3 linked regions of the Nothobranchius furzeri genome follow. The main gene of each other region encodes a partner of the protein of the gene in region 2 in a complex. Links are inferred from orthologs where the notes say so. Each region holds a gene or a part of one and is shown on either strand. Other genes may lie near its edges. The genes, in order: rrn3, polr2eb and polr1h.

What was found.
Region 1: polr2eb (region 2) and rrn3 share a complex: the UniProt entries of both Homo sapiens proteins name them as parts of the pol I pre-initiation complex. The link is inferred for Nothobranchius furzeri from reciprocal best matches to the Homo sapiens genes POLR2E and RRN3.
Region 3: polr2eb (region 2) and polr1h share a complex: the UniProt entries of both Homo sapiens proteins name them as parts of the pol I pre-initiation complex. The link is inferred for Nothobranchius furzeri from reciprocal best matches to the Homo sapiens genes POLR2E and POLR1H.

What each region holds. Positions count from the first base shown.
Region 1 is NC_091758.1:12,121,368-12,129,324, forward strand, and holds the start of rrn3 (RNA polymerase I-specific transcription initiation factor RRN3), read right to left. Parts: upstream 3,888-7,957; 5' UTR 3,753-3,887; coding exon 3,612-3,752; intron 3,261-3,611; coding exon 3,204-3,260; intron 3,136-3,203; coding exon 3,046-3,135; intron 617-3,045; coding exon 487-616; intron 397-486; coding exon 337-396; intron 149-336; coding exon 85-148; intron 1-84. UniProt on the Homo sapiens protein: Required for efficient transcription initiation by RNA polymerase I (Pol I). Required for the formation of the competent pre-initiation complex (PIC).
Region 2 is NC_091748.1:48,496,922-48,504,072, forward strand, and holds the end of polr2eb (DNA-directed RNA polymerases I, II, and III subunit RPABC1), read left to right. Parts: intron 1-3,495; coding exon 3,496-3,576; intron 3,577-3,653; coding exon 3,654-3,712; intron 3,713-3,816; coding exon 3,817-3,895; intron 3,896-5,451; coding exon 5,452-5,517; 3' UTR 5,518-5,524; intron 5,525-6,339; exon of another isoform or gene 6,340-6,533; 3' UTR 6,534-6,663; downstream 6,664-7,151. UniProt on the Homo sapiens protein: DNA-dependent RNA polymerase catalyzes the transcription of DNA into RNA using the four ribonucleoside triphosphates as substrates.
Region 3 is NC_091751.1:25,533,104-25,541,060, reverse strand, and holds polr1h (DNA-directed RNA polymerase I subunit RPA12), read right to left. Parts: upstream 4,109-7,957; 5' UTR 4,005-4,108; intron 3,435-4,004; 5' UTR 3,412-3,434; coding exon 3,294-3,411; intron 1,034-3,293; coding exon 933-1,033; intron 855-932; coding exon 745-854; intron 669-744; coding exon 644-668; 3' UTR 273-643; downstream 1-272. UniProt on the Homo sapiens protein: Core component of RNA polymerase I (Pol I), a DNA-dependent RNA polymerase which synthesizes ribosomal RNA precursors using the four ribonucleoside triphosphates as substrates. Can mediate Pol I proofreading of the nascent RNA transcript.

The sequences.
Region 1 (7,957 bases), on a different chromosome or scaffold from region 2:
AAAGTCCGTCAGCAGAGGGACTCACTCACGCCACCTAGTGGAGCAGGAAGACAAGACGAGGGGAAACAGAGTGGAGCAACTTACGAGGGCACATATCTGACGATGAGCTGCAGCGCCTGGTGACTCCGGTCGAAGCTTCTGGGGAGGTCTTAAAAGCAGAAGAATGCGTTCAGTAATATTTAGTTACAAACGTCATTTCTGTTTCAAGATGTTTGTTGTGGAGTCTACCTGAGCTCTCTCACCTGTTCAGTAGCACTGCTGCTGCTACTTTACCAGTAGTCCTAATTCAGCTTCATGTGTTATGATGTAAAATAAGTGAAAAATTCAAGAACTCACCCTCATCTTCATCATCCGAATCAGAGATGTCCACTCCACCCTCGTGAATGGTCACTCTCTCTGAAATCAAACAACACCTCCTTCGTTCTCCGCGTGCAGCCCAACTTTCAAACGTGACGAAAGGCCCGAGTCTGACTCAGAGGAACCTACTGGGAGTGAAGAGGGAGACCGCCATCTTCAGGCAGGCACACAGGAAGACGGTCTGAGCGGACACCAGGTTACCCAGGAAGGCCAAGTACTCATCCACCACAGCCTGACAGCGGTCGGCCCACGGAACCCTCTGGAAGAGCGACACGAACGCCACGCCAAAATAATGACCACACATTTCTACAGCACCATCAGACACTCTACTCTGATTGGCTGGACCACAGCCGATCCAGTGCGTGTTTTCGTTTGTGCTAGTCAGGTAAACACCGTGGACGCAGCGCAGATGAGAGAAAATTTAAAAAAAAAAACGATTGGCAATATTTTTACCAAGTGAAGTCCTAGGAGCCCACTCCCACAGCTCTGACACGCAACCATCAGCCTCCCAGGTGATGCAGCCCTGGTCTGCAGTGCAGAGCCTCGGAGCCAGCTGACCTTATGAGCAGGAAATGTGTGAACTAAAGGTCCCCTTTAACCCTAGCCCTGGAGCCAGAGGATGCTAAAATGACCCTTTACCGGGTGACTACAGTCTCATTGCAGCATTAACCTTTTAAAAAAAAATCTAAATATAACAAAAACTAAAAACTTTATGACATAACTGTTGATCTGTGTAGATCTAGAAGGGCCTACAGCATTTGGACATCTGAGGGGCACGTGGCTACTCGGCTGTTTTATATTGTTAGCTAATCCTTTACAAATCTACTTTACTTCTATGAAAGGCCATTTTTTGTTTGTGTGCGATTTAAAAACAATGAACCTGCAAATCTTTGATGTAAAATGGTCAAAAAGTTGGGTGCTCTTCAGAAACACCGTTAGCTGTACCAACGCAACCAGTGTGTGGGTTTCCCAGCCCCCCGGGGGCTGCTGACCCCAAGGAGAGCCCCTGTGTGTGGGGGGGGGGGGGGGGGGGGGGTCCTTGAACACAAGTAGCTGAGCTGACTTTCCTCTGCAGCCTTAAAGCCGGGCGTACACTGTGCGACTTTTTCACTCGCAGCGTTCAGCTTCAGCTCAAACTGTACGACTTCCTCACAGAGCAGATCTCACAGTCGTGTGCTCACACTGCACGACCCAGTTCTCGCATGCGACCTGACTGCTCACACTGTACGTCTGGTAGCAACACGTCGGCCCTAAAAATGTGCTAAAAATAGCAGTTTTTACTCAACACGTCAGACTTTTTTGTCTTGTTTTGCCTGTTGTCCTTCGGTAGTGCTGCAGGAGGACACACAGGGATTTATGGGGGTTGGATGAGGAAAACGAAATAAAGAAAGTAAATCTGTGTTTTGTGATCAGTTTAATTTGACATGAACACGACAAACACGCTTTCTTGACAATCTTTGTGAGTAAAAAAACGTGTAGAAACAAAAATGAGCAGCGTGTTATTAGGGAAATAGCGAGCGACCGGCCGGCGTTGATGCAGGATTGCGCGCGCATGCGCCGTGAGCGGTTCTGATACTTTTTGGGTCGCAGCTGCTCGCAGCGCCGCTTCAACAGTGCGATACCCTCACGAGGGACGAGCGAAATATTAAACACGCCAGAAGTCCCTGCGACCTCACGACTGCTGATCGGCGGCTGGTCACGTGGTGTTACTCGCCTCTCGTAACCCCCTGTACACTACACGACCGCTCGGCGCAAAACTCGCCCCGATCTTGTGGATTCTCGCACGACTGGAAAATCGGCTCAAAAAAGTGAAAAAGTCGCACAGTGTGCGCTGAGCGTCGTGTAGTGTACAGGGGTTACGAGAGGCGAGTAACACCACGTGACCAGCTACCGATCAGCAATCGTGAGGTCGCACAAACTTCTGGCGTGTTTAATATTTCGCTCGTTCCTCGTGAGGGTATCGCACTGTTGAAGCGGCGCTGCGAGCGGCTGCGACCCAAAAAGTATCAGAACCGCTCACGGCGCAATCCTGCATCAACACTGCTCGTCCGCTATTTCCCTAATAACACACGCTGCTCATTTTTGTTTCTACACGTTTTTTACTCACAAAGATTGTCAAGAAAGCGTGTTTGTCGTGTTCATGTCAAATTAAACTGATCACAAAACACAGATTTACTTTCTTTATTTTGTTTTCCTCATCCAACCCCCATAAATCCCTGTGTGTCCTCCTGCAGCACTCCCGAAGGACAACAGGCAAAACAAAACAAAAAAGTCTGACGTGTTGAGTAAAAACTGCTATTTTTAGCACATTTTTAGGTCCGACATGTTGCTACCAGACGTACAGTGTGAGCAGTCAGGTCGCATGCGAGAACTGGGTCGTGCAGTGTGAGCACCTGACTCGTGAGATCTGCCCTGCGAGGAAGTCGTACAGTGTGAGCTGAAGCTGAGTGCTACGAGTGAAAAAGTCACACAGTGTACGCCCGGCTTAGGAGGAAGGACTAGATCCACCTCCTCCTCCTCATGAATAGGAGCCAGCTGACATTGCAAACAGCTAACAATTGTTCCCTATAATTACAGAAATCACTGAACTAAGTTCTGTTTTCAATCAGATAATCTAAGGGAAATGAACCATCTAATCTGATCAAATGAAGGTTTGAGCTCTCCTCATCAGTGAAGCTGTCCTCTCACCAGAATCGTGTAAACCAGCTGCTCATGGTCCTTTGTCAACTGAGTCACACAGCTCCGAAACTCCTGCAGCCAGCTGATGAGCTGAGCATCCTGTCCAGAGAGACATGACCATTATTCGCACCTTCACACCGACCCAAGATCAGCCTCAGAGGTTTTACCTTGATTTCAGGATCCACCAGCTGATGCTTCAGCAGCTCGTAGTCATTTGTGTCCCCCTTCAAAAACAGACAAGCGCCTCATCAGGACACAGGGCTCTTAGAGGAAGGTGAAAGGAGCTGCTCCTGCTGCTAACAATCGTATCAAACTAAAGTAAAATGATTCTGCCACAGCACAACCACCCAGGATATTTCACCTTCCACCTGTATTTGAAACATTCATGTTTTTGGTTTAAAGTTAAAACTCATTCCTCGTCTTTTAACCCTCGAGGCACCTTGGGTCCCAATTAAACATGTTGCTTTTTTATCTTTAACATCTATCAGTTTAAACTTGGCCGAGATCATGTTAAGCCAGAGAAGTCTAGCTGTTGTCTTTACCATGCCCTGGACTGGACCAGCTACAGCACTCACGTGTCTGGCTTTCTCCAGAGTCTCCGCTACGCACCCCCCAAACCGGACCGTCTTGGCCGGAGGAGAGTTGAGGAAGTCCCTACCGTCTGCATCCATGGTTCCGGCCACGCGCTGGTTTCCACGAGCTAACGTGGCTATCATCAAACTAAACGTATACGTTAACGTATTCTCTCATTTCACCGGAATAAAGACGGGGAACAATATCAATACAAGACCCCAAAACACTAGTGAAAAGCAAAGGCAAGCTGCTGTGAGCGCAGGCGGAAGAAATCACGTGTTTCCGGAACAGAGTGATGAGGTGTCACATTAAAACTCTTCCCGCGGTGCGCGAGACCCACTTTTTTTTTTTTTTTTTACAGTAAACAGAAAAGCATTATTTTACGATAAATAACTGTGTTTCACCCTGAATGTAATATTAGCTAAATATAGTTTCTGTAAGAATTTACCACCTGTGTGCTACAAGATTGCTAATTCAAAATATATAATGTGTTCATCAGGGAAAACAAATGTTAAATTTAAGCACCTGAGAATTATTTTTTTCACAGTTCATCAATTTCTTTGAAGTGTTGAGCATAATTAACTAAAACTGTGGATTTTTTCACATAGCAAACTGTGATCATCACATCTACTGTGCCTCTGAAACTTTATATCTTTATTGTACTTTGTTTTGTTTCTCTACCAGACTAGTGTGTCATTTAGAAAAACATATTACCTCAAGCACATTTTAAGGGGAAAAAAAAGTATTCTACTTTTTGCTAAAATAAATAGGTGAAAAGAAAAATAAACACTTCAGATCAATGTTGTTCTGCATCCTGGAGAAAAACCAGTGGTCTCTCTCAACTAAGTTCAAAGGTCACAACCTGATACCCATGTTGGGTGGGACTGGCTACACTCTTTTACAGGGCTTGACTGGGTTGATTTAACCCTCTAGAGGTCGGCGTTGCAGATGTGCAACGTTAAAACCTACCTACCTGGTTACCCCACACATGTATTTCATGAGCATGTTTTAACTCAGAACCCCTGAAGGACTTAGTTGTTCGTCCTTTTATCAAAACTTATTTTTGAGCCTGAGAGGGTAAATGCATCCGATTTTATTTTGCTGCTTTACGTCGTGATGAAATGAACGGATGAAATCCACAGGCTGCATCCCTTCAGACAAACTTTGGTGTACCTGTTTGGACTGAGAACGTCGGAAATAAAAAGAAACAGTAATCGAGTTAATCAGAAACTCCTTCAGTGACCACCGAGTCTCAGAGTCAATCTGTCTGCCAGCTGAAGCTTGAACTGAACCAGATCATCAAACAGATCCATGACCCAAACACAACAGCAGAACTACCAAGGAATCCAGGGGCGGAAGTGCTCTAGTCAGAGTCCAGGGGCCATGCCCCCCCCCCCCCCCCCCCCCTTAACTCATTCATTGCCGGCCGTTTTCTGAATAGAAAAGCCCCGGACTGCCAGTGTTTTTGAGCATTTTACAGTTTTTTGCTGCGTCACAGAACATTGTGTTCTTGGATCACGTAAATGCCAAAACTACCAAAACAAATAATAGACTCACTTCTTACATCAGGAAGAATCAGCAAGTTTCTGGCTTTATCTGCTCTTTCATAATCCGTTGGTCAAATTGTGAGCTGCAGAAGCCTTTCCAGTTAACGCCTCGCTTTTTTACAGCAGCAGCCCTAAACGATCTCCTAACACATGGGTTTTCTGCTTCCTGATCACGTGACGTGTGACGTACACAGATGAAGATCAGCTTTAAGCCGTTTTTACAAAACAATGCCGTCAATTTGCCACAAGGCCGTGGCGTCAGCAGGGACTCTTAGAACGTTTATAAGTGGTCAGACCGTGGCGGTAATGTGATGCAATCGTGTCCTTTTTATAGAAAATCAGGTGACGGCGTCAAATTTTGCGCAATGCCACACCGGCATATGGCGCGTAATAAGAGACACTGCTGCGGTAATATTACGCCGATTTGCTGGCATGGTGCGTTGTGTAAAACGGGCTTTAGAGATGTGATGTTTATTGTCACGGTGCAGGGGCTCATTCGCACACCCGCCCTATAAAAAGGGTGACTGGATTTAAAATGATGAGTTTTGTCGTCAATGGCAGTATATTATTAAATCAAATTAATCTTCTTTATTCAGAACATACATTTTAAATCCATGAATGTGTTTAGATAACATTTCCATAAACAATTTGTTTAAAGGTTGAATGTGGAACATGAACTCTGGCGAACACTCTGGTGTACTCTGGTGTTCACAGGTGGCATTGCAACAACAGGGCTAATTTTCCAGCAATCAGTTGGTTCACTGTTGACACGTTCCAGCACCATGTTCAGAGACAAATCATACAGGATAAGGACTACTTTCTAGTGATGTGAACAGATTTTCAAAGTGAATGATGAAGGCCGAGACCCCGTAGAGAGCCGTTCATCTTGTCTTCCGGTAACAAACCTCCCCCGAAGTCGGTTAACCACACCCGCTCAAACCCCACCCACCGCTGTGATGGACGTAGGAGGAACTCTAACTAACCACCACCCCCCCTCCCCGGCCAACCACCATGCAGTGAGTTACCTTATGTAGCCCATATGCACCGTGTTTGACAGATGATGGCCATCATCAGAGCGTTCGGGTGCTGCGTTATGCCCCTCTTTTGCTTTGTCATCATTTAATCCCAAATCTAAATAGACTCCTGTGTAGCGTAGACACTCTACATAACCAGGATTTAACGCTGTTTGCTATGCAGCTTTGTTAGATCCTGAGAAAGATCAAACAAATAAGCAAATTAAACTTATATCATGTATAGATATCCACGGATATCTATATAATCGATAGAAGTTCATACACCAACTGGCTTGGTCTATATTTAATCCAAAGATTAATATTTAATTTAAGAGATTTAATTAATAGCAAAAGTTTATTTATTAAATCAGAAGATTTAAAAGGAATCTTTGCTCGTTCAATAACCAAATATACACCACTCTGTGTTTCATTTCAAAGAAGAGTCAGGTTTAAAAGTTAAGAATGCATTACTAACATTCTAAAGATGACAATTTAAAAGGCAATTCATAAATGACAATTTAAAAAAAGCTTTGATATTAAAACTTGGTATTAAAGCAACCCTGTGTCTGGATGAACTAAAATGAAATGTGTGGGTTTGGATGTGTGCATGGGTCTCAGAAGGTTTCTATCAGAGAGGGAAAATGCGTTCTGGGTGAAAGAGTTGGGTTGCAGCTGAACTAAGTTATTTCTTAAAGAAACAGGCATACGAACGCTATCTGTCGGAAGTGTCTACCTCACCCAGTTAGGAGACCCCCTTCTTGGATCCGAGATGTCAGGAGGAGATGATGACCTCGAAGCACGAGGTGGGTAGAAGAACCATGGTGCAACCAAATCGGTCCTGAGATGTCTCCGGGTCACAACGACTGATGAAACTGGTTGAGTCTCAAAAATCAATAACTCTGAAGGAGTTTTGCATCAGCTTGTTGCAGATGGCGTTTCTGTGAAGCAATTCTATCAGCGTGACAGAACAGCTTAGTGGAGGTTTCGAGCGGCCGACCCGATCCTCTGGGACTCTCGTCGCCACAGAGAGATTTTGGTGAGCTCAAGAACTGAACTTGAACTGAGTAGTTTTGGTTTTATTAAACCTCAGGACATGCCGTCTCAGAGATAGAAAGCTTTGGTTATGGAACAAAGACATGTGAGAGCAGTTACCTTTACCCTGATGTCCGTGTCCTGCATGGTGTGTATAAGCGCACATGACCTTCTTTATACTGTTAAAGATTACTGATTATCATAAATAATTATTATGAACCAAAGAATAATAATTCATTTCAGTAATAAATACATTTATAATGAACCATGATGATTATTTATGAACCTTGTAATAGACAGTGAAAAGAGTTTATTAAAAATTATTCTTTTAAATCTTGAAGTGCCCTTCGTCTTGGGACGGAATGGCAGTCAGATGAAGATGGTTTACAGCAGACTTTGTGTCTCCTGTGACGGATAATCTGTAAACAGAAGTACAGCCAGGACAGCTCGACCCAGCTGAGGAAGTGTGACCTTTGGGTCACAAATGAGGCCATTCATGTCGCTACACCTGTAATACTTTTGTGTTACTTATTACTTATAATTATTATTTAGGTCGCCAAGAAAACCTAGGATTATTATGAGGTAATTTGATGATTTTTTTTTCACACAAATGCTAGCTGTTACCATTCACTTAAATTGTTTATGCTAAGCTAAAACTAACAGAATGCTACCAGATTACGAGAATGACTGGGCTGGTTACAAAATGTTTTTTCCCCACTTATCAAACTCTGGGAAGTATGGCAAGACTGAATTTCA
Region 2 (7,151 bases):
CATAATGAATCGTAAAGGGAAGTGAATAAGGAGTGGACAGTAGAGTGGGGGACGGGTGCAGGGAGGGTGCTAGCTTAGAAGATGCTCTCTGACGAGCTGGGTCTTCAGGAGTTTCTTGAAAATGGACAAGGTCAAAGAGATCTCGCAGTACAGGCAGGAAGACCAGTTAGAAGGGCATTGCAGTAGTTGAGGTTGGAGATGACTGTAGATTGAACCAGGAGCTGGGTGGCATATTTTGTTAGATATGGTCTGATCTTTTATATGTTATACAGCATGAAGCGGCATGAACGAGTGACAGAGGCAACTTGATCTTTAACTCATTTCCTGCCATTGATGACTAAAGTCATCATTTGTATTTTTTTTTTTACTGTGTGGGTGTCGGAACGAGCTCCCGTACCGTGAGAACAAACATCCCAGCTCTAAAGCTGATCTTTATCCATGTACATCACACGTCACATGATCAGGAAGCAAAAAATCCATGTGTTAGGAGATCGTTTTGGGCTGCTGCTGTAAAAAAAAAAGTGAGGCACGATCCAGAAAAGCTTCTGCCGATCACAATTCGACAACGGATTATGAAAAAATGGATAACACTCTAAACACGCAGATTATTCCAGATGTAAGAGGTGAGTCTACTCTTTGTTTTGGTAGTTTGGGCGTTGACATCATCATAGAGTGCAACGTTCGGTGACTTTTCAAAAAACTGTGAAAACGCTGAAAACCTCTGGCAGCGAAGGGCTTTACTGATCAGGAAACGACCGGAAGGTAATGAGTTAAAGGTCAGCTGGTCATAAATCACAACACCCAAATTTCAAATTGTGTGTGAAGGAGCCAGAGATAGGGGCTCGTTTTGCATTGAGATATTGTGTCGTATGGATGGGTTTGCTGGGATGTCAAGTAATTCAGTTTTTGAGAGGTTGAGTTGGGGATGGTGAGATTTCATCCATCTTGATATATCAGAAAGACAGTCCAAGATTTGTACAGAGACTGTGAGGTCGTCCGGACGAGAATGACAGATAGAGCTGGGTGTCGTCAGCATAGCAGTGGTAGGAGAGGCCATGCGATCGAATGATCTCACCCAATGTGGTGGTGTATGTGGCAAAGAGAAGAGGTCCTAGTAAAGAGCCCTGGGGGACTCCTGTGGCAAGATGGTAAACAGCAGAAGATTGTCCGAGTCAGGTAAGATTCAAACCAGGAGTGTGCTTTCCCTGTGATGCCCATGCTAGAGAGTATGGACAAAAAGAAGCCACGGTTGACTGTGTCAAATTCAGATAAGTCAAGCAGGATAAGCACTGAGGATTTGGGCAGTCGCTCTAGCTTATTTTAAGGCTTCAGTGGAGTGGCCATTTTTGAACCCAGATTTGTATGGGTCAAGCAGATAGTTTTGTGAGAGGTGCTCTGCAACCTGCTTGAAGGCCGCCTTTTCGATGATTTTAGACAGGAACGGGAGGAGAGAGATAGGTCGGTAGTTCTCCACACGATTTGGAGGAAGGGAGTTGGTTTCTGAGTGTCAGAAGTGCTGAGAATTTTGTCAGTGTAGAAAGCTTTCTTTGCATTAGTGATGCTGGCAGAGAATGAACTTTGTACCGTTTTTAGATCAAATGATAACATTAAGGACAGGAAACCTGATGAAATGGGGTTGTCCAGATGAATATTCATGTCTCCAAGGACCATTGTGGGACAGTCATGCTCAGGAATGGAGGAGAGCAGGGTGTCAAGTTCATCTAGAAAGTCTCCGTGTTGTCCTGGTTGTCGATATATAACAACCATAAAGAATAATTTTCGGTGCAGTTACCCAGATGGCATGGTATTCAAAGGAGATGTACTTAGTTATGGGTAGCAACTGACTGTATTTCCATTTGTTGGAACTTAACATGCCTGTTCCACCACCTCGGCCAGATGCATGAGAAGTGTGGTTGATTGAGAGTGCAGCTGGGTTCATCGTCACCAGGTTTGATCCAGGTCTCAGTGAGAGCCAGGGCATCAAGTGACAGGTGACTGGCATATGCAGTAATGAAGTCTGCTTTGTTTACTGCTGATTGGCTGTTCCACAGTCCCATAGACAGGCAAGTGGTGCTCGCTGCAGAGCCACAAATGTGGAGCTGCACCAGAGTCAGCCCCGCCCATTCCATCAGAGTCAGTCCAATTCCTTCCAGTTGTCAGACTTAATAGCATCCTGGAACCAAAGAGGGTGATATAGCTAATATCATCTAAAATGCAGGATTGAGGACTGAGTTGAGAGGTTAACTGAACCGTTTTTGTAAAGGTTTCCATATAATTAAAAATCTAACTTTTGGAACTTTTTATTATGTTATATTATCATTTCCTCATAAGAAACACGCCAAAGCCATTTTTGGCCTCATTCACACATTTTCCTCCCATCTCAGCTTCAATTTGGTCCTCTCCTCCGAAGCGGGTCTGGTCTTGGTTCTCAAATCTGGATATTCTGTGAATTTTCTGACAAATTATCTCTGAAATGACTTCTACTGAGACACCGCTGAAAAACCATACATCCCATCTACAAAAACACACTGGATGGGACAATTACATGTGATGCCACTAGCTTGTTATCAGATGTAGTGGTGAACTGGTTGTGCAGTCAGCTTGTCATGTAATTTTGCGCAGGTTCACCTCCCGGTAACGGCGCAAACTTTTTTCTTCTTTTCTAGCTACACTTGCCAGTACTATGTTTTTAACCATTTATTGGTATACCGTTTACAATATAATGACTAATGTGTTTGTTTTTCTATTTATTCGTTATTTAGCCAGTGTGAGTCCATTTGTGAGCAGAGCTCCAACTAAAATGCTGTTTAGGAACGACCAAATTCAAAGAACTTTTAGAGATATAAATATTTTGCAGAAAATAAACATTACAACTAAAATATAAACAAATTAAATGTTTCAGCTGGATAAATAGATAGCTGCCGACCCCACCGAGAGTTGAACCTACATCAGCTGAGGGGAAAGCAAAACTTAGGTGTGACGATGTTGCCACTAGATTACCAGGGCTCACCAAACAATTGTCCTTAAATGCTTTTGTAGCCCGGTTCTGTTGGAGCGGCTATGGACAGATATTCGCTAAAAGAAACCTTTTCATTTCGGGATATATTCAGGCTTTGTCACGTAGCAAGTTATATTTATCTTGTTTAATTGGAGCATAGAACGTAGCATTAACATTTGTAAACTAGTAACAGCCGTAATTCATGTGGGTTAGGTTAGTTTGCTACAAAATAAAAAAATAAAAAACAGAAGAAGTCAGTGGGCTAGGCTGTTTGCGTGAGTGGGCGGGGCTGACTCTGGTGCAGCTCCGCCTTTGTGGTTCTGCAGCGAGCACCCTTTCTAGTCAGGTGAGTGTCACCGAGGAGAGCTTGTTATAGGCCCAAGGTAAACACCATTATTATGGAGAAAGAAAAAAGATCATGTAATTTTATCAGTAAAATTGTCTTTATTTGGCTTTCACTGTCCTGTCTAATAAGTTGAAACTGAATTTCCTGACAGTCTTTGGTGGACATGGCACCGAAGTACATACTGGAGCAGTTTCTACAACAGGAGCTGCTTATTAATATCACCGAGCACGAGGTAAAAAGCATATCATGTTCTTTTTTTTGTGTACATACTGAGAATAGTGGGTTTCAGTTTTGTGTCTGAACTTTCAGCTTGTACCTGAGCACATCGTCATGACGAAGGAGGAAGTGACCGAGCTTCTAGCAAGATAGTATCCTTACTGATTTCCTCTTTTTACTATGCTGCAGGTTTTGTGTTGACGCTTGAGGGCTTTTATTTCACATACCTTTGTTTTCTTTAACATGATTACTTCAGTAAACTAAAAGAAAGTCAGTTACCGAGGATTCAGGCTGGAGACCCTGTGGCGCGCTACTTTGGCTTGAAAAGAGGACAGGTAAAGCACCGAGTACTTCCTGTTCACATGTAAGAGTTGTACAGGACCTGTGACCAGTTTTCATTATTACATGTCACATCATGAGTTCTCTAACATCACTTGTATATTATTTGCCACTCATTTACATTTTACACAAACTGCTGGGTTGTCATGGGCACAGTTATTGTCCAAATGCAAACACAAATAGTTTTGAGTTTTCCAACTGTGACCGTGCTTTCATGCAGCCAATAGCCCGGTTCCACACGGCCATGTAAACACCGGCAAAAACCCAGTTGTGCTCATAACCGGGTATTTACAAACCGGGTAATTAACCCTGGAGGTAACCCTTTTCTAACCCAAGTATCAGGTCATGTAAACTCGTATCGGGATAACCCTTTCATAAGGTGCGCATGTTCTATTCACAAGGAATCTTGGTCGTTTGAGTAGATCTGGGGTCGGCAACCTTTTCCCATCAAAGAGCCGTTATTACCCGTTTCCCACAGTAAAGAAAACACTGGGAGCCACAGCCGTGGCGTTGTGTGTGGGCCTACCGGCCCTGCGCAGGTGCCGCTTTTTGACGCGTCTCCTTTTAAAACATGTTTACACTGTTCAGACAACAAATCCAGGCTCTGTCTCGTTGGATTGTCATTAAACTTTCTACAGAACGAAACTTTACATTAAACAATGTGGAAAGGGTAAGAAAAGGATTCAATCAACTTGTTTTTCTCCTTTATTTACAGTGATGGAGGTAACGGCGCAGTGCGCATGGCACTGGTGTTAATCGAGTTTAATTTTTCTCTTTGCGACAATCTTCACAAGAAGGCAAAACAGCTAAACGGCAGGGTTCACTGACCAGCTATTTCCCGTGTTTGACCGTTTATTTGGACAGAGAAACCTCAAGGCTGCAGAAGCGCTGACATTTTAATCGTTACACACATCGCAGAGGCAGCTACACCAATCAGGAAAAGATTCCCATCAGAACATCTGAGCATTAAACTGGACACTGTGCTCAGGGCAGCTCGTTGACAGCGTGCACGTAAGGTGGACGAGCTGAAGATGTGGAGAGGGGCTTGAGCGCCTCGTGCACCGGCAGCAGCAGAAGTAAACCGGAAGTGAACACGTAGAGGTCAACATGGCGAGACGCAGCTCGCCTTATAAGCACAATAGCTACGTAACTAAGATCAATTGTAATAATAAATACAGGTAGTAATGTGAGTTATTAGTACCACAAATGCTACCTAATATGCACTGTACCTGATAAAAAAAAACAAATTAACATCAAATGATGTCAAATCAGGTGTCATTTGCTGTTTTGCAGTTTCTTGTGGTTGGATTATGCACATGGTGTTTATTTAGGAAGAAAAACAGCAAATGACTCAAATTGCGTCTTAACGTAGCCCGTACGTCCTGGTCCTGACGCTATGTAATCAGGATATTGGAAGTTCCATGTATACAGGGGTAACACTCTACTTGTGCATGTAAACGGGTTATTCCAAATGTTAAAGTTAATGTTTCTGGAACCCGAATATTGGCTCCATGTAAAGGTAGTCGGTGTCTCACAAGCTGCGTTTTCCCAGGTGGTGAAGATCATTAGACCCAGTGAAACCGCTGGAAGGTACATCACCTACAGGCTGGTGCAGTGACCCAAAGGTAAGTGTGGACAGAACCGCAAATAGAGCATGGATTAAGGATTTGTAGAGAATTACATTCTGGGCATAGAGGGCCGGTACCAGCACTTTTTAGTGGTTTCTCTGCTCAAACACTAGATTCAGTGGTTGAATCACCTGTGCAGCAGCTCAGTGTTAATTACCTGCTGATTGAAATCAGGTGTGTTGAAACAGTAAAAACTGAGGCCCTGTCCACACGTAGCCGGGGATCTGCCAAAACGTAGATATTTTTCTACGTTTTGGCCTGTCATCCACATGAAAACTGAGTTTTTTCACACGAAAACGGATCTTTTTAAAAACTCCGGCCAAAGTGAAGATCTGCGTTTTCTCCGTTTTGGGTGTCTGCGTGTGGACGGACAAAACCGGAGTTTTAAGGTCTGCAACGTCACTTTCCGTGACAAAAAACTGCTGACATCACGTGTGCGACCTGTGTTTACACTAGCCGACAGCATGGATGCTCTCAGAGCTGCGCTCGCTTTATCAATTGTCCAAGCGCTTTTTGCTCGTTTGTTTTTGCAAGCGGAATTACTGCTCCTTGCGGAAGACCACAGACGAAGGACGAGGTTAAGAACGGGGGAAGTACTGCCGCCTACAGGTCTGGCATGTCCTTAACAACGTATTTATCCGGGTACGTGTGGACAGAGTTTTGTTTTAAAACGAGGTGGTGTGGATGCAAGTTTTTGGAGGGGCGGATGTTCGTTTAAAAAAAAAAAACCCGGCTACGTGTGGACTAGGCCTAAGACGTGCTGGATACCGGACCTTTAAGAAAGTAATTGTATACCCATTTGTGTTTTTCAGTGCGTCCCAGTGCAGCTGTGGCTACATCGTAGCTCATCACCATCAGTGTGTGAATGTGTGTGTATGGATGAATGATACACTTTAGTGTAAAGCGCTTTGGAGTCCTTACTCTGAGAGGCACTATACAAGTGTGCGTCATTCATCATAGTAAACACGTAAGACTTGATGATTCTGAAAATTGTTTTCTTTTCAAGTTCTTCCGGATTGAAGTTGAGGATCAGCGGCATCTCACTCATCTGTGGATCGTTAGTCTGCTGAACTCCAATTTTTCCTGTAATTACTGAATTTTGTAAAAAATAAATAAAAGCATCTTTTGTACTTGAATTGTGGCACAACTCAAAGGTTTCAGCCTACAGTGTGTACAAGTGAAAAGTACCTTCCTTCTTTTAGGTTATTCTGTAGCTGCGGCAGGATCTGGAGCCTGATGAACTTTTGTTTAGACCCGTATCGAATACTTCGTCATGCCCGCCCCAAAGTAGTTTATTCAAAACACTAACAGGTTACACAAGTCTGAGGAAAAAAAATAACTCGTGGCCAAGACTTGTAAATGCATGATGGGTGTGTTCCACAGAGCTACAGTGTTCATGTTCTACTTATGTTACCAAAATAAAATGTGTTCTGAATTAAATGAATTTATTAAAATAGTTCAAACATCCATAAGAACAAACAGGAGCCATTTCTAAGAAAATGCTTCACTTTAAATTTCAGAGCTGAAATATCTTCAGCCGCTCGTACGCATCTGTTTGGACCGTTCTCTTGATGAAACCATTTTTCCTTAAACTTTTTCATTAAAAAGAAAAAAAAAAGAATTA
Region 3 (7,957 bases), on a different chromosome or scaffold from region 2:
AACTAATTTAATAAAAGTTCTTGTTTTGGATCAAACTTTTCGAAATGACGAGAAAACGATCCAGGCTAAACAAACAACGAATGAACGGAAGATAACCTAGATGTAGAGAGAAGTAAAATCGGGAGCTCATTCCAAACTTTCACAATGACCTGAAATAAAAATTTACATAAATATTTATATATTTTGTGTACATGCTTGTGAACTTGGTAAATTTCGCTGTAAATTATTGAATTGGAAAAAGTTAATTGATCAGACGATGAAGCCGGACAACATTGGGGCCCATACTCATTTATTAATCTACATTCGGACTGAAAATCCACAGGATTCATGTAGCTCTTGTCCGATTTGTCTGAATGTTATTCCATCCATCTTCCATTCAACCAAGCTCTACCAACTCATCCTTCACAGAGATTTGACATTTCCGTTCAGATGGAGCAGATTTGCTGTAGGGTTCCTTTACCACCTTCAGAATGACAGAGGCTCAGATTTACTTTAACAAGATTTGAGCTGAATCTGGCAGCAGCCAATCATTCAAATTAATATAAAAAGAGAAATAAATCCAATGCTGATCCTGACAGGTATCATTAGAAGAGGGAGAGCTGACGAAGATGTTCTGAGAAACCCAGTGGGGGCCGGTAGAGTGTCAGGAGTCCTCCTTTTCTTGATATCTAAAACAAAAAAAGAAAAACCGTAAGTACTATCATCACCAAGAGTACCAAGAGACACAGCGGAGCCAGAGACCACCTGCAGTGGATACAAGTGAAGAAGACCGTCTGTCCTTCATCTGCTGATCTCATCTGCCTGGTGTGGTAAATCATCCCATCTTTACTGCACCGTGAGCAGCGTCTGTCCACCTACAGGGCGAAGATGGCATCATCAACAGTGCCAAACTCTTAGCATAACAAAGCTTTCAGCTAATGAGCTGGTCTTACCACGGGCCCTTTTAGGTCAGAGTCTCGATCATCCTTCAGAACCAACAACGGAGTCAGCTGGTTAAAGACCACCGAGGACTTGACCGTCTGACCAGAGAACTCTAGAGAAAAAGATTTGGATGTAAACGATGATCTGAAGAGGGTTCTGCAACATAAATAAGTAGGGTCCCGAACAATCGTACCCCCCTGGGAGGCAGAGCCTTTCTGTTCAGAACCAAAGCTGATTCATCGCCTTTGTTCCAGTATTAAACCGCACTGCAAGGATAAGTCCTTGGAACAGTGTAAAGCTCATGGTGGTGCAGTAACAAGTCAGTGGTTTTAATGTGGATATATTTTTTATGGCACTGCTGCCCACCTTTTAAAAAGTATTCATGTGAATAGTTTTTGTAGGTGTTTTTGTTATGACAGCAACAAGCAAATTAAACTGTTCTAAAAAGCTAAAACGATAAATTTTGAAAAAAAAAATAATAATTGTAATCCCTGATTGAAATATGTATTTTTTAAGTGTGTGTGTTTCTAAAATTCAAGATAATTGTGTTGGATTTCCCTCTTTCCTATTCAATCTCTCTCTTTATTTACATTTTTAATCACAATTGTCTATCTTTTGCTCATTTTAAATATATTTTTAATCATTTTCTAAATTCTTTTTTATATTTTTACATTTTTTGTTTTTGTGAAGCGCCTCGTGATTTTTATCTTGAGAGGCGCTATAGAAGAGATCTTTTCTTCTTCTTCTTCTTGGATGCGTATTGTTTTTAATGAAAAAACAATAAAGGAGAAAGGCAACAATCAGTCAGACTAAGCTCTCCCAGAGTTACCACAAGGACTGTCCTTCATCTGCCCATCTCAAATGCAGTTGACTCCACCTGCTGAGAAACTGAGGTCCTTCAGAGTATGCAGAACTCTGTGAAGGACTTTTTATGATTTGTCGGTTGCATCTGCCCTTTTCTATGCAGTGGCCTGTTGGGGAAGCGGATGTACAGACAGGGACCAGAACAGAATTGGCAAACTGGTGCAGAGGACTAGCTCTGTACTGGGATGCCCCCTGGAATCGGTGGTGGGCGAGAGGAGGATGCTAGCTAAGCTAACATCCATCATGAACAACACACATCAACCTGAGCAGCTCATTCAGTCAGAAACTGATATACCCCCGCTGCAGGAAGGAGCACTCCCGTAGACCACCGATTCCACCAGTAGATGGGATTTATAACACATTATGACGTCATTAGTCAGCCAGCCACTTAAACGCTACGGTCACTACTCCATGCAGGATGCACCTGATATATGTATTTGTTTGTGTGCTTACATGTTCATGCCTGTATTTACAGTAATCTACCACATAGACGGTAAATAGTAGCTGTAGCACAACAGCTGATACTTTTTATGTATTATTAATTCATGTGACACACGTGATCGCCAGTGGAATTAAGGTGAAAAACAAGCTAACTTTCCACAGTTTTCCTGTTTAGTGGCAAAACGACAGAGACCAAGTATCTAGCATAAAGTCTTGTTAGCTCACTTGGATCGCAGCTGTAAGGCGACCAAACATCACCTTCCAAATTATTTTCATTCTGGTAAATTACAGATGGTGTACGTTTTTATACATCGTTTCTTTCCCTCAACCGCAACATGCACACGAAACACACACGTACACAGAGGCTACACTCACCTACCGGTAAGCTAATGATACACAACATAACTTTTCTCGCTACACTTCTTCTGAGGGATGACAATTTTGATTGTTTTACTAGAAAAACCAACAAATTAAACGTTTACCTCTCATCTGGACGTTAAACAAGATAGCCGAAAAAGTCTGTTATGCAGAACTGCAGCTGCAACAATATGTCACCAGTGCTCCAGTCTTGGGTCTTTTATGTGGATCAAAACCATTTATAATGATGATTTTGTCCACATACCGGTCCCCGACGTCTTTATATAACATGTCCCTGTATATTCCACATCCTTGTTGGGATTTTATGTGATTTAACACTTTCTTTCACCCAAATCTGCTTCTACTCTGCGACAGTACCGTTTATTTCACAGTTTGCAGAATGCTATGCGTAATCACGTGTGATCACAAGCCCTACACAAAATCTGCTGATTTTAGAAGCATTAATGTCGGTATATCGGTATCGGTTTTCGGCCATAACGGTGATATTAATATTGTATATTTGTTTTAGCCCAAAAATTTCATATCGGTGCATCACTATCACGTTAAATACATTTACTGTGAAGTGATTTTTTTTTCTTTTTACTACACTTGTGGTACTTTGAGGAATCATCACCACCTCCACCCGGGTTCCCAAACAGCCTCTTGAATCAGGCCCTCACAAAGCTAGAAACGGCTCTGGGACACGTTACCTGAAACAGGAATGCAGAAGGAGCAGCGAGGACACAGGACAGTGTTGGAGGTTACTGGTACCGGAAGAACGTTCCCGCATTCAGGACAGAAGTTCGGGTCACCACTAAAATAAGACATCCCGTCGAACCGGGCTGCTGACTCTTGAGAAACACAGACACGTTGAAAACAACAATCAAAACCATGAACCACTGGTTTCCCGTTCGGTTCACATGGGTTCTGTTTCGTTCCCTCCTGACTGCCAGTGGCAGTAAACAGAGTGGATGTATCTCCTCGCGCTCTGCGCAGGTCGAGTACTAATGTAAACAAAGTCACGCACGTGACACGTAGCGCACCTGGTCGCGAGTCTATAAATTACGCGCCGATAGCTACGTTCGGGTCTCCCGGGATCTTCTCGCCCGAGAAGTTCCGAGTGACCCCTGTGACTGGCAGTCATCCAGGAACTCACAGAACCATAGTTACACCGTAACTTCCGTTATGAAGACTTAGCACTTTATAAATTAACACTTTAAAAGACCTCCTGGCTGTGTGATGAAATCTAACGAGTGAATGTTATTGTTATTATTAGCAGTAGTAGCAGCAGCACATTGAGCACGTGGAGCTACTTGGAAACCTTTTACATGTTTATATTAGTATTCGGCTATTCTTTACACATTTAGTTCAAAACAGCGCTACTGTCATCATTTATTAAGTCAGTATAAAACGTTACAAACCTCTTTCACCGGTCACTTGTTTGCAGTAGAGGTCCTAGGGTCCTATCCACAGCTATGTATATGGTCCTATCACGTTATTGTCGCAGGCTGATGACGCAGGACGTGCTAGTGTCGCACGCTTGTTTACGTGACATGAGTTAATGACCAAAATGTTATTTGGGAATAATTAAATTAATTCGCAAATACCATTAAATGGTGTCAAACAATAAAATAAGGTGGAAATATCATATAGCATCTCCAGAAGCATTTCAATACCAAAGTAAAGCATACGTGGAAATAATAAACAACACTAAACTCATAATTACTGTGCAGAGATTTGGGGCAACAATGACCAGGGGTGGTCCTAGCCTGTTCGGTGCCCTGGGCGAACACACTTTACTTTTAGATGCTGCTTCACTCAAGCCGCTTCAGCAGACCTGTCCTCCTCCCTCTGCAGCACGCAGCAGAACAAATGTTTCCAAAAGTTACACACACCAGCATAATGTTCAGGCACTGCGCTCCCAAAATAAGTTTTTTTTTCGTACCCATTTTGCCACCCCTCTCATGATGCCATCCTGGGCCATTACCCAGGTCGCCCATGTCAAAAACAGTACTGCTCATAACTGTTTATTTTTATCTATTTTACAAAAAAAAAAAAAAAAGAAGAAGAAAAAAAAGGCCACTAGAATAATCTACACATCGGTGGTTACAGATGTCACACAAACCAAATGTTCTTAAAATCACAAATTTTGAAATTTTCTGATTTAGTTTAGTTCACATTGGAGTGAAACTGGAACCGACCAGCTGAGACAGTGATGCTGTGTTTTCTTATCAGGCTGAAACCTATGATCATTCATTTGTTTGGTGCATGTATGTAGAAAATTTGAACGGATGTCTGACTTTTCCATAGGTGTTTTATTTTAATGAATTGTTTCCATATTATATTATTTGTGGACTCCTTTTAAATGTTAATGAAAATCAAAAATACAATTCATAATTTGAACACAGTAAAAGAATGACAAACAATAAGCCCTAATGCAAGTATTAATCTTTCTTTGATGATGTAGACATCACACATTCAGTAATTAAATGGTCCATCAATTCCTGCCATATAATGTGTCAGGGAGGAAACGGAACTTCACCAGCAGACGTGGATGGATCACAGAAGGTTGTTTCATCTTCCTTTGTTGTTTTCAAGACATCCCAGAAAAAGATTACAAAAAGTGGAGCATTAGAATAAAGCTTTGTGACTGAAGGTCGTGTTGCAAAATGTTATCATGAAGATTAAAATGTTTTAGCAACTTTATTAACAACATATCAATTCTACCATCATGTCTCACATGCCTCAGTGACAAATTTCTGGATTTAAATCATCCCAGTCCTGCCTGCAGAACACTTACTCGAAGTCATCAGTGCTTCCTGACTAACAGATCCACCCTTAGATTGTGTTACCAACCAACTCTTTGCTTTCACACAAGTATAGACAGGATGATGCTACCCCAAAGTTTTATGACATGACATCATGAGCGATGGCAGTTTTTGGCTCTTACCTTGAAGCAAACAAACCTCACCCTCATCTCCATGATCCAGCTCTGAGATTTGTGAGTCAGATTGGAATTATGTTACTTCTAAAAAAAAAAAAAAATAAGGGAATGACCAAATGTAAATAAAACCGTTACTCTCGGTAGGCATCTTGCTTGTAGGCCATTCCAAATGTCCTTGAAAAATTTGCCAGATGTTATTTTAAAAAAAAAGTATCTACTGAACTTTTGGGTTAATTAGCATAAATAATAGAATAAACAAACTGATGAAAAAATATCATAGACATGACACAAATCTAGTAGTTATAGAGAAATTATAAAATATTCAAAACATTTTCCTGGAGCAGCATAAACAGGTGAAGTCTTTATGTCCTCATCCAGCAAAACACGTACTAAACCCTCCTCTTTAGACTGAAGTTCTGGTTTTCTAGTTTTCTGCCTGATGTAGAACTGGACCATGATCCAGAACATACTGCTATCAGCAAATAGATTTAACGTGTAAGTCAAAAAGAGTAGAACAGTTCTAAACATGTACTCAGGGTAGATACGTATAATGGAATTAAAAAAACGTACCTGTTGCTAAAAGGAAATCTAATTTTAAAGGTATGTCACTTATTCCCATAAGTCCTAATGTAGCCACATGTTGGCCAGATGTTCTGTTTGTAGATACGTTTTTTTTTCTACCAGAATTGTAAGTGTAAACTAACTAAACGAAGAGACTCAACACCACGGACATTATTTTGGGAGGAGATTTTAATATGGTATGGTCTCAAGAACTGGAAATATTCTAAATGTAGAGATGAGGAAAACAATCTTATTAAATTTAGCAAAAGATTAAACTTAATGGACATTTGGCGACATCATAACCCAACAGCGAAACAATACACATGGAATAATAAAGATCTATCGCGCTGTTCCCGAATTGACTTGTGGCTGGTCTCTGATAACCTTCATGAACAGGTCACTGAAGTGAAAATAAGTCCTACTATTATGACAGATAAAAAAAAAATTTATTAAATGTAGTCTGTCTCAACAGCATAAAACAAAACAATTTAACTATTGGAAATTTAATAATTCTTTATTGAATAATAGTAGCTTTATAGAAACTACAGACTTTTAAAACGATATTGGGAACAAGCAGTCTCTACAAATGAGTTTGGGAAACATTGGGAACTGTTCACATATGAAGTTAGAAAACATGCCATTAGTTTCAGCAAAGACTTAGCTAAATAAAGAAAAGCTAGAATAGAATTTTTAATTAAATGTATATTGAAAATCGCTCTGAATCTTACTGATAATGAAAAATTATTACAGCTAAACTTTCAATCTGAATTAGATGACATTTATAAGGAAAAAGCTAAAGGCACATTCATAAGATCAAGACTAAAATGGTTGGAAGAAGGAGAGAAAAACAGTAAATATTTTTTTAACATTGAAAAAAGAAACATTGAAAGAAGTACCCTAAATAAATTAAAAATAGGAAATGCCATAACAACAGACTATAATACTATATCCAAATTTGTGTCCAAATATTATGCTAATTTCTACAAAATGGAAACATGTTCTGATTCATCCAATATATTTAATTCGCTTGACAATGTCAAAAAAGCAAGCACCACTCTTAGAGAAGAGTATGATGAACCATTATCCATTGAGGAAGTAAAATGGGGAATTAAAAATCTTAAACTCAACAAATCACCTGGTAATGATGGCCTCACAGGTGAATTTTACCAAACGTTTACTGTAGAAACCTCAAAATTCCTTTTGGCTGTTGAGACATATGACATATTTGCCAATATACTGTACAGCACACAACGTTCAGATGTGACCTTTTGAGACACCCATGTGAGTGCAAAGCCTGGTCTGACTCAACCTGACAACAGTCAAATTAGGCCCCCAAAGACACGGAAAGTCCCAGCTACAGTTGGAACATTCTACCACATGAGCTGCGCCTGGAGGAAGCAAAGCGTTAGAGCAAAACAAACAACACTCACACACACTCACAGCTCATGCATCCAGCATGAGCTGCACACGCACTCAACACCCAATCAGAAACAAGTGCATGAGCCGATCATGCGCTCCTCGACCTATCACAATAAGATACACCACAGGGGAACGAGCCAGACACATACTTAAACACTTGTCATCTTCAGTTCGGGTCAGACCATTGCTAGCACGCCGCGTGAACACTTAATGTATGTACACCGTGTTGGTCTCCACTCTCTTTTGATCGTGCATTAAAGCTGTTTCGATCCTTAGTTTTGACTCGGTCGTTTCCATCCACATCAACCAACTCGGGGAGGTCCGTATCCATCATTTTTGACCTCAACAATTTGGGGGCTCGTCCGGGATGTGGTAGGATAACGACAACGGGATCTGGACAACGATTACAAAATTCTTGCTTCAGTAATAGTCAAACGGCTAAAATATGGA